Linked DNA regions of Neodiprion lecontei. The protein of the gene in region 1 purifies or fractionates together with the protein of each later gene. This does not show direct contact. Links are inferred from orthologs where the notes say so. Each region holds a gene or a part of one and is shown in the gene's direction. Other genes may lie near its edges.

Evidence for each region. Proteins that work in one complex are often made in the same cells at the same time.
Region 2: the proteins of elongation factor 1-alpha (region 1) and valine--tRNA ligase purify together in Homo sapiens (affinity purification with mass spectrometry; 3 studies listed by BioGRID and IntAct, counting the BioPlex papers as one, with this or other methods). This does not show direct contact. The link is inferred for Neodiprion lecontei from reciprocal best matches to the Homo sapiens genes EEF1A1 and VARS1.

The regions. Positions count from the first base shown.
Region 1 is NC_060264.1:21,332,505-21,338,468, reverse strand, and holds elongation factor 1-alpha, read left to right. Parts: upstream 1-1,646; 5' UTR 1,647-1,685; coding exon 1,686-1,829; intron 1,830-2,422; coding exon 2,423-3,031; intron 3,032-3,647; coding exon 3,648-3,923; intron 3,924-4,508; coding exon 4,509-4,865; 3' UTR 4,866-5,436; downstream 5,437-5,964. UniProt on the Homo sapiens protein: Translation elongation factor that catalyzes the GTP-dependent binding of aminoacyl-tRNA (aa-tRNA) to the A-site of ribosomes during the elongation phase of protein synthesis.
Region 2 is NC_060261.1:2,225,267-2,232,923, forward strand, and holds valine--tRNA ligase, read left to right. Parts: upstream 1-1,636; 5' UTR 1,637-1,655; intron 1,656-1,905; exon of another isoform or gene 1,906-2,204; 5' UTR 2,205-2,275; coding exon 2,276-2,440; intron 2,441-2,597; coding exon 2,598-2,771; intron 2,772-2,867; coding exon 2,868-2,995; intron 2,996-3,091; coding exon 3,092-3,256; intron 3,257-3,330; coding exon 3,331-3,532; intron 3,533-3,605; coding exon 3,606-3,894; intron 3,895-3,959; coding exon 3,960-4,084; intron 4,085-4,173; coding exon 4,174-4,319; intron 4,320-4,404; coding exon 4,405-4,612; intron 4,613-4,714; coding exon 4,715-4,891; intron 4,892-4,962; coding exon 4,963-5,084; intron 5,085-5,205; coding exon 5,206-5,314; intron 5,315-5,375; coding exon 5,376-5,654; intron 5,655-5,745; coding exon 5,746-6,081; intron 6,082-6,372; coding exon 6,373-6,528; intron 6,529-6,630; coding exon 6,631-6,834; intron 6,835-6,922; coding exon 6,923-7,198; intron 7,199-7,289; coding exon 7,290-7,508; and 2 more. UniProt on the Homo sapiens protein: Catalyzes the attachment of valine to tRNA(Val).

The DNA.
Region 1 (5,964 bases):
ACGCCCGCATCTCGCGATCCTTGAGCCCCGGGAATTCGCAGGCATGTATTGCGGTTCAACGAAGAGTAAAAGAAAGTACTGTTATTCTACAAAACAAATGCAAATCCGTAGTTCACGAAAAGCTGGATAAAATCTGTTAAAATGCGTTAGAACAGTCGAATAGCGTCGTTAATTTATGCTACAAAAATCAGACCAGACTAACGAGAACAGTATAAAACTGCACTATTAGTTCAGATAGATCAATCAAGATCTGGCCCTCAAATCTGGAGTAAACAGCCCGGGTCATGCGTGTCATCTCGATAACAATCGCGAAAGACTGCCAAGGAAAAACGGGGAACGACGATTGCGCCCCGGAAGACACTGGCCCCAAACGTCAGCCATGCAGGTGTAGATTGTATGCGCCCGAGGCCAGCGGTAGCGGATACGCACCTGAAGGTTTGAAGGAATCGAAGCCTCGAACCCAAAGCCGTGCCGAGATTAACGTCCAATTCAAAATTTTCCAGAATCGAATGTTGCAGCGAAAAGTGTCGATCAATTGGCCATTTGAGACCACTGTAAATTTCGTAAGGTAAAAACTCCAAATGGTGATAATTTTTAGAAAAATTTAGATCGCGGAAGGAGCGAGGGATCGATAGTCGGCCGTCGCTGGGTTCGAGGCTGCGTCGGTGAAGCCGTGTGCGCATGTCACTTTCCTACAACGATCTCTTTCTGTCGTGGCATCTGGAGGTGAGTGGTCGTACGTGCGTGCTCTCTGTTACCGTTCAGTAATCCGTCGAAATCACAAACAAAGTCCAGCCATCGAGGCTCGGATCAAGGCCAGAACTGAACCTTAAATTCCCGGCGACGTCGCCCTCGGTGTAGTTTAACGAAATATCGCCTACTTCGGTGAAAAAAATGTAACGATCCCGACCGGCTGCTGCTTAGCACCCTCGGCCGCATGCCGACTTCAAACTGTCCCTGTACTAGACACCCGGCGAATTCCGGTACTTCGGGAAATTCGAACCCGATTAAACGCACCCACTTCCTCATCCTTGAGCCCTAGACCTCTATTTCCGTGACATCCAGCCCTCATCGGCTTCTCTGCCTCGTTCATCGCTCCACGTAATGGCGGTGAGTTGTCACCGCAATTCGGGTTCCCTTAGGTCACTGTACAACCTTCTCACTTTCGCATCATTCGTTCATTTATTCAATCTTCCTTCCAGGTGAAGAGCTTCGAAATATACCACAATGCCCGTTTCCTTTCCGAACTCTCGTAACGAATCACTGCGTAGTCTGATACACCTAATCAAATATGTACATATGTTGCAACGTGACGCAATCGCGTATCGACGTATCCTCTCATAGTTTCCAACTATGTTCATCGAACTGCCGTTATATTGTTTGGAAGCAGGACTCGCCGCGTTGTTCCCGGGTCGGTATTTTGCTGCAATGCTTTCTTCCCTTTCTCTGTGATTCTCTGAAGAAATGTCCTCCATCTACAGTTCCAAAATGGCCGCGCGATCCCGTAAATCCCGCAGGGCACAAGCAGCAGTCGGTCTTTTTCCTTCTGAAATCTGGACGCATAACTTTCGGGGTGGCCACGTGGTATAAGTTCATGTTGAAGAGCGGATTTTTTAACGGCTTCTTTTGTTTGCACTGTGTTTCAGCTCTTTTGACGAACTCTTTAGCAACGAAACGACGCAAACATGGGAAAGGAAAAGGTTCACATCAATATCGTTGTCATCGGACACGTAGATTCCGGTAAATCGACCACCACTGGTCACCTTATCTACAAGTGCGGTGGTATCGACAAACGTACCATCGAAAAGTTTGAGAAGGAAGCTCAGGAGGTGAGGTTTCTACTCTGTTTTTTTTGGATTTGCTTTTTCTTGATATGTATACCGAAAATCTTTATACCTGATTCAATAGCTACACGTAACTTAAATTTTTAAATGGAGAGCTCTTTAAGCTTGTTTAATCATATCTCTCAACATATTTTTCCATAAATGAAAGCTTAAATCTACATCAAAACAATGAGCATGTATCTATTTCTGAACACTTTTGAACCCAATTAGTACAAAAGATTGTGATTTTTTTCTTTGGATAATTAATTTGCTTGATGATCGATATATTTCATAAATTATGTAAAATCTGCACTATTTGCCCCAGCAAAAAAAATTCTCGTTAGCAATCTAAGTTTGAATACCAATTGAAATATGTATTGATCAGCAATTCGATATTGTTATAATCTTATGATGTCACTGATAAAAACAATCTGGATTGGCACAGTGATGATAACCCTACAACTTCATTCGCGGTTTCCACCGGAGGACTTGAGAAAGTCCATTGATGGCTGAAGGCGTCTGAGTGTCAAATTAATACCATCTGGAAGTTGAATCAATGGCTGATGAGAGCACAAAATTAATATTCATATTATTTGCAGATGGGTAAAGGTTCCTTCAAATATGCATGGGTCTTGGACAAGCTGAAAGCCGAACGTGAACGTGGTATCACGATTGATATCGCCCTTTGGAAATTTGAAACTGCCAAGTACTATGTGACTATCATCGATGCTCCGGGACACAGAGATTTCATTAAGAACATGATCACTGGTACGTCTCAGGCCGACTGTGCAGTGTTGATTGTGGCTGCTGGTACGGGAGAATTCGAAGCTGGTATTTCCAAGAACGGTCAGACCCGTGAGCACGCACTACTTGCCTTCACCCTCGGCGTCAAGCAGCTCATCGTTGGTGTCAATAAAATGGACTCCACTGAGCCGCCATACTCGGAGGCTCGTTTCGAGGAAATTAAGAAGGAAGTTTCCTCCTATATCAAGAAGATTGGTTACACCCCAGCTGCTGTCGCTTTCGTTCCCATCTCAGGATGGCACGGAGACAACATGCTCGAGCCCTCGAGCAAGATGCCATGGTTCAAGGGATGGGCCGTCGAACGCAAGGAAGGCAAAGCTGATGGAAAGTGTCTCATTGAGGCACTCGATGCCATCCTCCCACCCAGCAGACCTACCGATAAGGCTCTGCGTCTTCCCCTGCAGGTAAATTTTGTCCATTCGCTTCATTCCGTCCATTCAAAATTGAAAAATAACTATTTTGATCAAGAAACTCTGGCAGAGAAATTTCAACCATTGTCAAAAGTTTTGTAAAAAGAAGGTCTTCCTAACTGTTCCTGGGTTTATATATTTACAGGACATCTACTGCTCCTTAAGTGTCCTTAAATTCTACAATTATTCTGGAAAACCAAAAAATGTCCCTGAAGTCCTAGAAAAGTTCTGAGATATTTTGACTTATCCTGGAAAAATTGACGTAATATATTTTTGAATGAAAACTGCGACATTTCATTTGTAATACGTAGCCTTCAATGCGTTAAATTTTAGTAGACCATGCAGTCGTTAAAAAGTCTATCAATCATTAAATTGGATCACATACTTACATTCGAAATTATTGAGATAAATTTTCCAACAATTAAAAAATCTTACAAAATAGAATAATTTAAACTCAAACATATTTTCTATGTTCCAACATGTTTATTATATTCTATTGATCGTCATTTTAATTCGTTTTTCAAAAGAATTGAAGGTGAAATTTCAATGTATATTTCGCTCCATTTTCCATTACTGAAGGTTAACTGATGCTTGTTGAATTTGTTTGCAGGACGTTTACAAGATTGGAGGTATTGGAACGGTGCCCGTAGGCCGTGTAGAAACTGGAGTTCTGAAGCCAGGTACCGTCGTAACCTTTGCTCCAGCAGGTCTCACGACTGAAGTAAAATCCGTCGAGATGCACCACGAGGCTTTGACTGAAGCCGTACCCGGCGACAACGTTGGTTTCAACGTAAAGAACGTTTCCGTCAAGGAACTTCGTCGTGGATACGTTGCCGGTGACTCTAAGAACAATCCGCCCAAGGGCGCCGCCGATTTCACCGCTCAGGTAACCGCAGATTCATTAAATTTCGATAAAAATTGTTATATGTTAATTCATGTACTTTTCGTTTGTGAATTATTCGACACTATGATGAGACGCTTTAATCTTCATTCGCGGTTTCCACCAGAAGACTTGTGGGTCTGTTGATGGCTGAAGCGTCTGAGTGTCTTGAAAATTACGCTCTTCTAATATTAACAGTGTCCTTGATTTTTATTAAATTGAAACCGTGTATAGTAGGTAATTAAATATTCATTAGTCATTCTGAAAAGTTACCGAAACTTTATTTTTCACCATAAGTACTAAGTTTCTCTTTGCTATCTGAAATTCAGCAGAGTTGTAATTCTTTTCATATTTGATTGATACAGTGGTCATTAAAGTTCGTTGGACTATTATCATCAAAATTCATGGAATAACTAGAAGCCGTTTTCTTAAATCATTACAACTGCAATTGAATTTTGTATTTCCGATTTTTCGTGGTTTCGATTATGTAAATTTACGAAAAATATCTTCAAGTTAGCAATTTATCGCAGTAAACTATATGAACAAAATTATTTTCATTGATAACTAATTCTTGCTTATTACGTATTGCAGGTAATCGTGTTGAACCACCCCGGTCAGATCAGCAACGGTTATACGCCAGTGTTGGACTGTCACACGGCACATATAGCGTGCAAGTTCGCCGAGATTAAGGAGAAATGCGACCGACGTACGGGTAAAACGACTGAGGAGAATCCAAAGGCGATAAAGTCGGGAGACGCGGCCATCGTGACTCTGGTGCCGAGCAAGCCGATGTGCGTCGAAGCCTTCCAAGAATTCCCGCCATTGGGGCGCTTCGCTGTGCGTGACATGCGTCAGACTGTCGCTGTCGGTGTTATCAAGGCAGTCAGCTTCAAGGATGCCACAGGCAAAGTCACCAAGGCCGCCGAGAAGGCACAGAAGAAGAAATAACTAGCTACTATAACGGATGACCACCGTGAGGTGGCGCCGCCGCTGCCTCCCTGTCCCGTGTCTCAATTAATTGATTATTATTATTATTATTGCGATAGTAATAAGTCGGCTACTGCCGCTGCTGCTTCTGCTACCCTCATGGTAGTTAACGTTGCTGAGATTATGATATCCATTATTATGATTATTATGACACGGAGGACTGACGTCGCGCCATGCTTATTATTCACGAAACGTTGTTTATTATTTCTTTTACTATCTAAATCCGAATGGCTGATACAGCAGCACTGTTGTTTCCACCGCAAGGAATTTCGCAGGAAAAAATATTACCTATTGTAATAATGTAATAATAACTTTTTAAAGATGGCAACCGAGCAACATGAATTACTATCAGCAAAAAACATAACAACAAGGTAACTAATTGAACAAACTACAAGTGCTGATTAAATTTGTGTTTCTTTTCTTTTTCTTTGTTTTTATTTTTATTTGTAACGAGAAACCATCTGGTTAATTGAATGATTGATTACATTGGTACGGTGAAAATTGAAAATAAAAAAAAAAGATTTTAATTTAATCAAGCAGCAACGACGACGACGATATATCTTCTACCACCACGTGAAATATTACAAACAACAATATCATTGAATTTTAATGACAAGAAAAACAAATATTGTCAAACTTCTCGAAATAGTTGATGAAAAAAAACCGTCTCATTGGCAACTTTATTATTCCGACTTGCATAACGTAATTATTTACTACCTATAATAACTATTATTATTATTATTAATAATACTATATAGCAACAGAAACTTCACCCCTCCTCCTGTTTTCACAACAAACAAAACTAGAAACGAAAAACTTATTAATTATTTAGCTCGGCTTAATTATATTTTCTATCTAATTATTTACGGAAATAAAATCTTATATCGTGCGATATTCGAGAAAATAATGTTATTATTTTGAATTTTTTTTTTTTTTTTAACTAAACTTTGTACGTTGTGTCGCAATTAATGATTTTATTTTTCTCAACGCGAGAATCACGATGCATAATTTTATTTATATTTAAATGTACTTATTCTTATTATTTTAGCCTAATTTTGCT
Region 2 (7,657 bases), on another chromosome or scaffold:
ATAACATTTTAGACAATAAATTAAACTCGCTAAATAAACGTTCCCGCAATCTTGCCGTATACGTACGTACTGCTCCACGGCTGTTTGGATATCAACTAATTGTAAGACCATCGCCGGCAATTTCGAATGAATATGAGTTATAATGGACAGACGAACTAATTATAAATTATATATCTCATGTATGTACAAGGATTACTAATTACTATTTCATTTATGTACTACACACCAACATGTATACATCGCTAACATACTTTCTCTATCCTTTCTAAAAAAATAGGATTTCTGAAGGGACGTAATATTTTCAAAATCTCCAACGTCGTAAGCTTCAACTACAAAAATATTGTTACAAGACTTATTGAGGAACACATTAATTATTATACATTACTTACCATGTATCATACATACTGCGAGTTATTGTATTATCGAATTTTTGGCAGATACAACCTTACGGAATTAGCCGATGTAGGATTTCATAATTGAATCAGTATCAATAGAAAACTGTATCTACCAGGTGATCCTACAGCTGAGCGCGAGTGATGAAAGTCAAGATCCAGCAGGTAAAGAACCTGGAGCACAGGAACTACATAGCGCTAGTCCTGGAAGTCAAGTTTCACTAGGTAAAAGATTTGAACAGCCGAAACTACGGAGCGGTCGTCCTGGAAGTCAAATTTCACCGGATCAAGGACCTCTAGACCTGGAAGTCAAGTTTCACTAGGTACAGGATCTGTAAACCTCATAAAATAGTTATAATTTAATATTATGAACTTTTGATTTAGAAGAATAAGATTCCCGGTTGATATATCGTTGTGTTATGGATCGTGATCTTTGAGTTGAATATAAGTTTTAGGAAAGAAATAAGAATCGAAGTCCTACGACGTGATTCTTCACAAATTCAAAAAAAATAAATTGAAAAAAACATGAAAAATCAAATGAGCACGATCTTCCACATAACGTAGATCCCTCATATTTTCCCAAAATCTTTCTTTTAAACTTTCAATTCAAATACACGTACACCAGTTAAACCGAAAACTGCATTCGAGGACCTACAGTTTACTGAACAGAATACCGAATCTCGAGATATACCGCAACGATTGCACGGAACACATATGCACTTGCTAATCTTACAATTAATTTTTTGCAACACCTGCGTGGAAAGTCCATTTTTATGCACCATTTACAAGCACCGAAAGTAGTCTTTTATACACATGTGCGGGAAAAACTTTCGCGCATTACTAGGGGTGTGAGAAAAAAACCTTCGCACATTGCCGGCGGTATAAGATGAACCTTCGCACATTGCTAGCGGTGTGCGAAAAAGACCGTCGCGCTTTTATCCACAGTTGCGTATTTCGCAAACAGCTCCACTAGCCCTACCGATGGAATAGTTTGTCACTCTTTGCCGTGCTCGACATCGCTGCATCGTCACTAAACAGACATCGTGCCGTGGTTTCGTGTAAAAATAATCGTGTATGTCGGACTTTCCATTACAGGTGTAGCAAAAAATAGAGTTCGATACACGTGCGAAAGTTGGCAATGCCTATCTCGCGTGAATGCGCCACACTCGCCCTTCAACTCGTCTCCAGGCTCGTGCTGCGCCTTCATGCTTGTGCGGGCATTGCCACCTTCGCGCACTAGTATCGAAAAACACTATTATACAGGCAGGTCACATAATGTACAGTTCATACAATTGGTTGCGAATTTCAAAGGTTCTTTACATTGATTCGTCTGAATGACGGGCCGATAAGTACTGTACAAAATTAAAAAGCTTCGGTTCATAAATTTGTGCGATCTAAGTTGTCTTTGACGCTGCAAAATTATTTAAGGATTTGGAAAAAATTATATTTCAAGCTTATAAGCTATTCTCGAAATAACCTCAAACCTATGCATTATTTTCAGTGCACCTTGTTACTCTACTGATGGATATAATTATTTTCTTCTTTCTATATTCAGACGGAACTGTATAAACTCTCATTTCTAAAGAATTACATTACACAACACAGTGCGACTCGGCCTAGCTAGCGAAGAATCAAATAATTGTCCCATTTTTGAAACTCGCTTGATAATGGATTCCGTCGAAACAGCGAATCACATAACATTGCGCCTGCAGCTTTTGCAATCCTTTCTGTTCTCACATCAGCTAGACAGCGTGCAGGCCACGCGGAGTAATTGGTTAAGTTTTCAATATTGACATTTTCGGGGATTTTCAGCGAGGCAGCGAATAACACGCGATACCGTAAACTGAGAATTATTTATTTGTTTTGAATAATTTGCAATAAAAATGGTTGAAACGGCAGCAAACGGAGCCGAGGGAGAGGCTGCGAAACCAAAGACAGCGAAACAGCTTGAGAAAGAGGCTAAGAAGTTGGCTAAATTGGAGAAGTTCAAACAAAAACTAGATAAAAAAGAAACCACTGCTTCAACTAAGCCCAAAGAAAAACCTGAGGTAATTTTCGCATTCACTTTATTTAATTCTGCCTGATTGTTAACTGCAACAATGACGTTTCCATAATCCATATGGTTTCCTGTCGCATTCACATACTTGGATCGCCTTGGTTTTACATGAAAACAAAAAAATTCATTAAGGTATACACGTTTTGCAGAAGGTTGAAAAAAAGCTGGAAAGCAAGCAAGCAGTATTATATACCATAAACACTCTAGAGGGGGAAAAGAAGGATGTCAATTGTCCGATGCCTGATGCCTACAGCCCTCGTTTTGTCGAGGCAGCGTGGTATTCCTGGTGGAGAAACGAGGGTTTCTTCAAACCCGAATATGGAGTAAGTTTGGTTAAAGTCCTTCAGTGATAAATTTGTTGTGTCTGACATCGTACGCAGAGGAATTCAATTCACATTCATCGTATACCACGTTTCCAGCGTAAAAGCATCAACGAAACAAATCCCAAAGGCACATTTGTCATGGTTATTCCACCACCTAATGTCACTGGTTCCTTACATCTTGGACATGCACTGACAAATGCGATCGAGGATGTAATTACCCGATGGTAAGTCGATAGTTTCTATTATAATATATTTTTTAGTTGTTCAAATCATTTTTCCTTCCTCCTTGTAACATAGTTGATTTACCATTCGAACTTCAGGAATCGTATGAAGGGGCGAACGACACTTTGGAATCCGGGTTGTGATCATGCTGGAATAGCGACTCAAGTGGTAGTTGAAAAGAAATTATGGAGGAACGAACAAAAGACACGTCATGACATCGGGAGGGAAAAATTTGTGGAAAAAGTTTGGGAGTGGAAAAATGAGTGAGTGCAACATGACCTGGTTTTTGGTACGATGTATCTAGGTGTTAATTTTATAATTTTCTACAAATCTGCAGAAAAGGAGATCGAATCTATGAGCAACTTCGTAAACTCGGGAGCTCCTTTGATTGGGATCGCGCTTGTTTCACAATGGATCCAAAACTCTGCCGCGCTGTTACCGAAGCTTTCGTACGTCTGCATGAGTCAGGGGATATTTACAGGAGTAATCGTCTTGTGAATTGGTCTTGTACGTTGAAAAGTGCAATTTCCGATATTGAGGTAACAATTGTTCCTATTTCCTGTCTCATTACATCTCAATGGTAATAAATAAACTGATCATTGTCGTTCCAAGGTGGACAAAATGGAGCTACCTGGCAGAACTTTTCTCGCTATTCCTGGCTACAAAGAGAAAGTTGAGTTTGGTGTTCTCGTATCATTTGCATACGAAATAGAAGACTCAAATGAAAAGGTTGTGGTTGCTACAACTCGTATTGAAACAATGCTTGGAGATGTTGCGGTCGCAGTACACCCCAAGGATGCTCGTTATTCTCACCTGATTGGTAAATACGTGAAACATCCTTTCTGCGATAGAAAGATACCGATCATAACTGACGATTTTGTGGAAATGGAATTTGGAACAGGTAAATTATCATCTTTGCTACTTTGAAAGAGAACATCTTGGCTTAATTCTCGTTGCATTAATTAGGCGCTGTGAAAATAACACCTGCGCATGACCCTAATGATTATGAAGTTGGAAAGAGGCACGACTTGCCATTTATAACAATTTTTGATGACGCGGGAAATATCATCGGAAACTATGGCAAATTCACGGTACTTATCATCCTCAATTCAAATAAACTAAAATTAATTATATGATAGTTGAAGTGTTGAGAGATTAGTGCATGCTTCTATCATTTCAGGGTATGAAAAGATTCGATGCGCGAAAGGCTATTCTGCAACAATTGACGGAAAGAGGATTATATATTGAGACCAAAGACAATGCAATGGTTGTACCAATTTGTAGTCGATCCAAGGACGTCGTTGAACCACTAATGAAACCGCAGTGGTTGGTAAATCCTGTCTACATTTGATGACATTTCTTCACTCTTTAAGAGAAGCTTGATACACGAAATTATATCTTGCAATTATAGGTACGTCAAGTGTGATGAAATGGCTGCTGATGCTATCAAGGTTGTTGAAAATGGAGAGTTAAAGATTATTCCAGAGCAGCATAAAAGAACTTGGAATCATTGGTTGGAGGGTATCAGAGATTGGTGTATTTCTCGTCAGCTTTGGTGGGGTCATCGAATCCCAGCATATTTTGTATCCATTTTGGACTCAGCTGTTCCAGCTGGAACTGTAAGTCATCATTTTTAACGTAATTTCTGAAGTTATAATAAGATCGAATTTGTCTCACGTATACAATGAGAAGTCCATTTCGAATGGCACAAACTATTTCAGGAAAATGACAACAATTATTGGGTGAGCGGAAGAACAGAGGCAGAGGCGAAAGAAAAAGCTGCAAACCGGTTCAATGTCAGCATTGATAATATTAAGCTGGAACAGGATCCTGATGTCTTAGATACTTGGTTTTCTTCCGGTCTCTTTCCATTCTCTATCTTTGGCTGGCCAGAAGAAGTATGTGAATACACATAGCCATTTAGTTCAAACTTATCACATTGCCTTATCTCGTGCAAATCTGGTTTTAGTCCGAGGAATTGAAAGCTTTCTATCCTGGAACTTTGTTGGAGACAGGACATGATATACTCTTCTTTTGGGTAGCAAGAATGGTTTTCCTTGGTCGAAAGCTCCTGGGTAAATTACCATTTAAGTAAGTCCTGCGTATAATTTGTGAAAATTTCGCTTCTCAATTTTTACCTTTTTATGAACTTAACTAGTAAAAATTTGACTCGTAACACCACAGAAATACTATTTTTCTTTACTTATAACAGGGAAGTCTTCTTACATGCTATGGTGAGAGACGCACATGGAAGAAAAATGAGTAAATCTTTGGGAAATGTCATTGACCCGATGGACGTGATACACGGAATATCTCTAGAGGTGAGTATGAAAAATTTCCTGGCACCGTTTCAATGTTTATTAAACTGAGATATTATTTCAGGATCTCCACAAACAATTGTTGGATTCGAATTTGGATCCGAAAGAACTTAAAAAAGCCACAGAAGGACAGAAGCAGGATTATCCTCAGGGAATTCCGGAATGCGGAACAGACGCATTGAGATTTGCGCTGTGCGCTTACACAACTCAAGGACGTGACATCAATCTCGATATTTTGCGAGTTCAGGGTTACAGATTTTTCTGCAATAAGCTTTGGAATGCGACAAAGTTCGCCCTGATGTACTTAGGAGATGGATTCGAATTCGACGCTGAAAGTGATGAGGTGAGGAAAGAGAATGAAACGTTTTTAAACGCAATTAAACATCAATGCGGAAAATTTGTATTTGAAAATTTTATTGCAAATGTCACGTTAGAAACGCTGCGCGATTTCGAGCGCGGAGGATGTCGTTGGCGATTATAAATGGTACCAGCACACACTAAACGAAAATTGTGTTCAAGACGCGCTAAATAACTTCTTGGCAGATTATTCGTACATAAATGGATACACGCCTTCCCAGGCTGATGTTAAGGTTCATGAAACGTTGAAGTGCCTGCGTATTGATTTTTCGCATAGACCACATCTTTTACGATGGTTTAACCACATCAAAAGCTATAGTACACATGAAAGATCCAGTTTTCACCCAGAAGACGGAGAAGTTTATCAACAGACTAAAAGTAACGTTAGCAGTAGTCGTAAAAAGGGATATCAGGTACGCTGTGACAATAGCGTTTACTCAATTATTGTTTGTAGTATGTTTAGTATTCAAAATATTTCCAGCTTGGGATGCAGTTTGAGTTTCGTTCTAAAAATTATTGTAACATTTATTTTTTGTAATATTCTAGATTATTTTCTACTGAAAATAAGTACAATTTTGTCATTTTTCTCAGCAGTGTACATTACCATTTCAGCATGTTGGGTTTTCGTTCTTATAAATTGTGTTTTGTTATTGTTGAAATTAAAAAATAAACAGGTGTATAAACTTGTAGTGAAAATCTTACAGCTCTCTGGAAATGAAACAGAAGTAGACTTGTGGATGCTTTCAAGGTTGAGTTATGCGGCGAAAGTTTGTGACGAGGGAATAGCTCAGTATGATCTTACAGCTGCAACTACAGCCTGTTACAATCTCTGGCTGTACGATTTGTGCGACGTTTATCTGGTCAGAATTGAATAACATATGTCAACCAATTTCTTATTTTTTTCAATCACTTGCTCTAAACAGTGGAACAGTATATAACCGTCACTTACTTTCATTTTTCAGGAATATCTGAAGCCTGTTTTCCAAGGTGGAAATAAAGAGACTAAGTCAACAGCTCAAAAAGTGTTGTTCAAAAGCTTGGACATAGGATTGCGTTTACTCAGTCCATTCATGCCCTTCATAACGGAGGAACTTTACCAACGTTTACCACGTAAAAAATTAATTTATCCAAGTATTTGCGTGGCTCCGTATCCAGAAGAACGTGAGGTGAATGACGATATTTTTTTTTTGAGAATTTTTGTTCAATGCAGCGACGGTGATTCAATATTGAAAGTATATTTTTCTGTTCCATTAGTGTCCTTGGAGGGATCAAGGCATAGAAGCGGATGTTGACGTTGCTCAGAAAATTATTAAATCCATAAGATCCGCACGAGCTACATATAATTTACCGAACAAGACTAAAACTGACGCATTTGTCACATCTACGGAAGACAGTATCAAAGAAAAAGTCAAAACGTACTCTTTGTTGATTGGGACACTTGCTTACTCAATAATTTATCTCGACAATGCTCCAGCCGGATGCGTTATCATCCCCGTGACAGACAAGATCCAAGTTCACTTATTACTTAAGGTGAAAAAAATAATATGAAAATCACTGTACCCATATCGTAAGTTAATCATATGTTGAAAACTATAACATTCATTGTAATTTGTGATTTTAGGGATTGGTTGATCCGAAAAAGGAATTTGAAAAACTTGGTAAAAAGAAAGGAATACTTACAGAGAGTATAAATAAGCTGGAACAGGCTATGTCGGCAGTTGATTATTCCACTAAAGTTCCTGCGGATGTCCAATTAGCAAACACGGAAAAGTTAACCAGTAGCAAAGGCGAATTGGAACGGCTGGTAGAAGCAATGGACGCTTTACAGCTGATGCAATAGCAGTTTTCAATTTCTTAGATTCGAATTTGTATGTAATTCTATGATTTTTCTTTATTAAATGAAGTAAAAACAAATCGCTGAAAACATTGAAATCGTTATTTTTATTTCATCCTCGATTTCGGGCTGCGATAAAACTGTATTAAAAATCC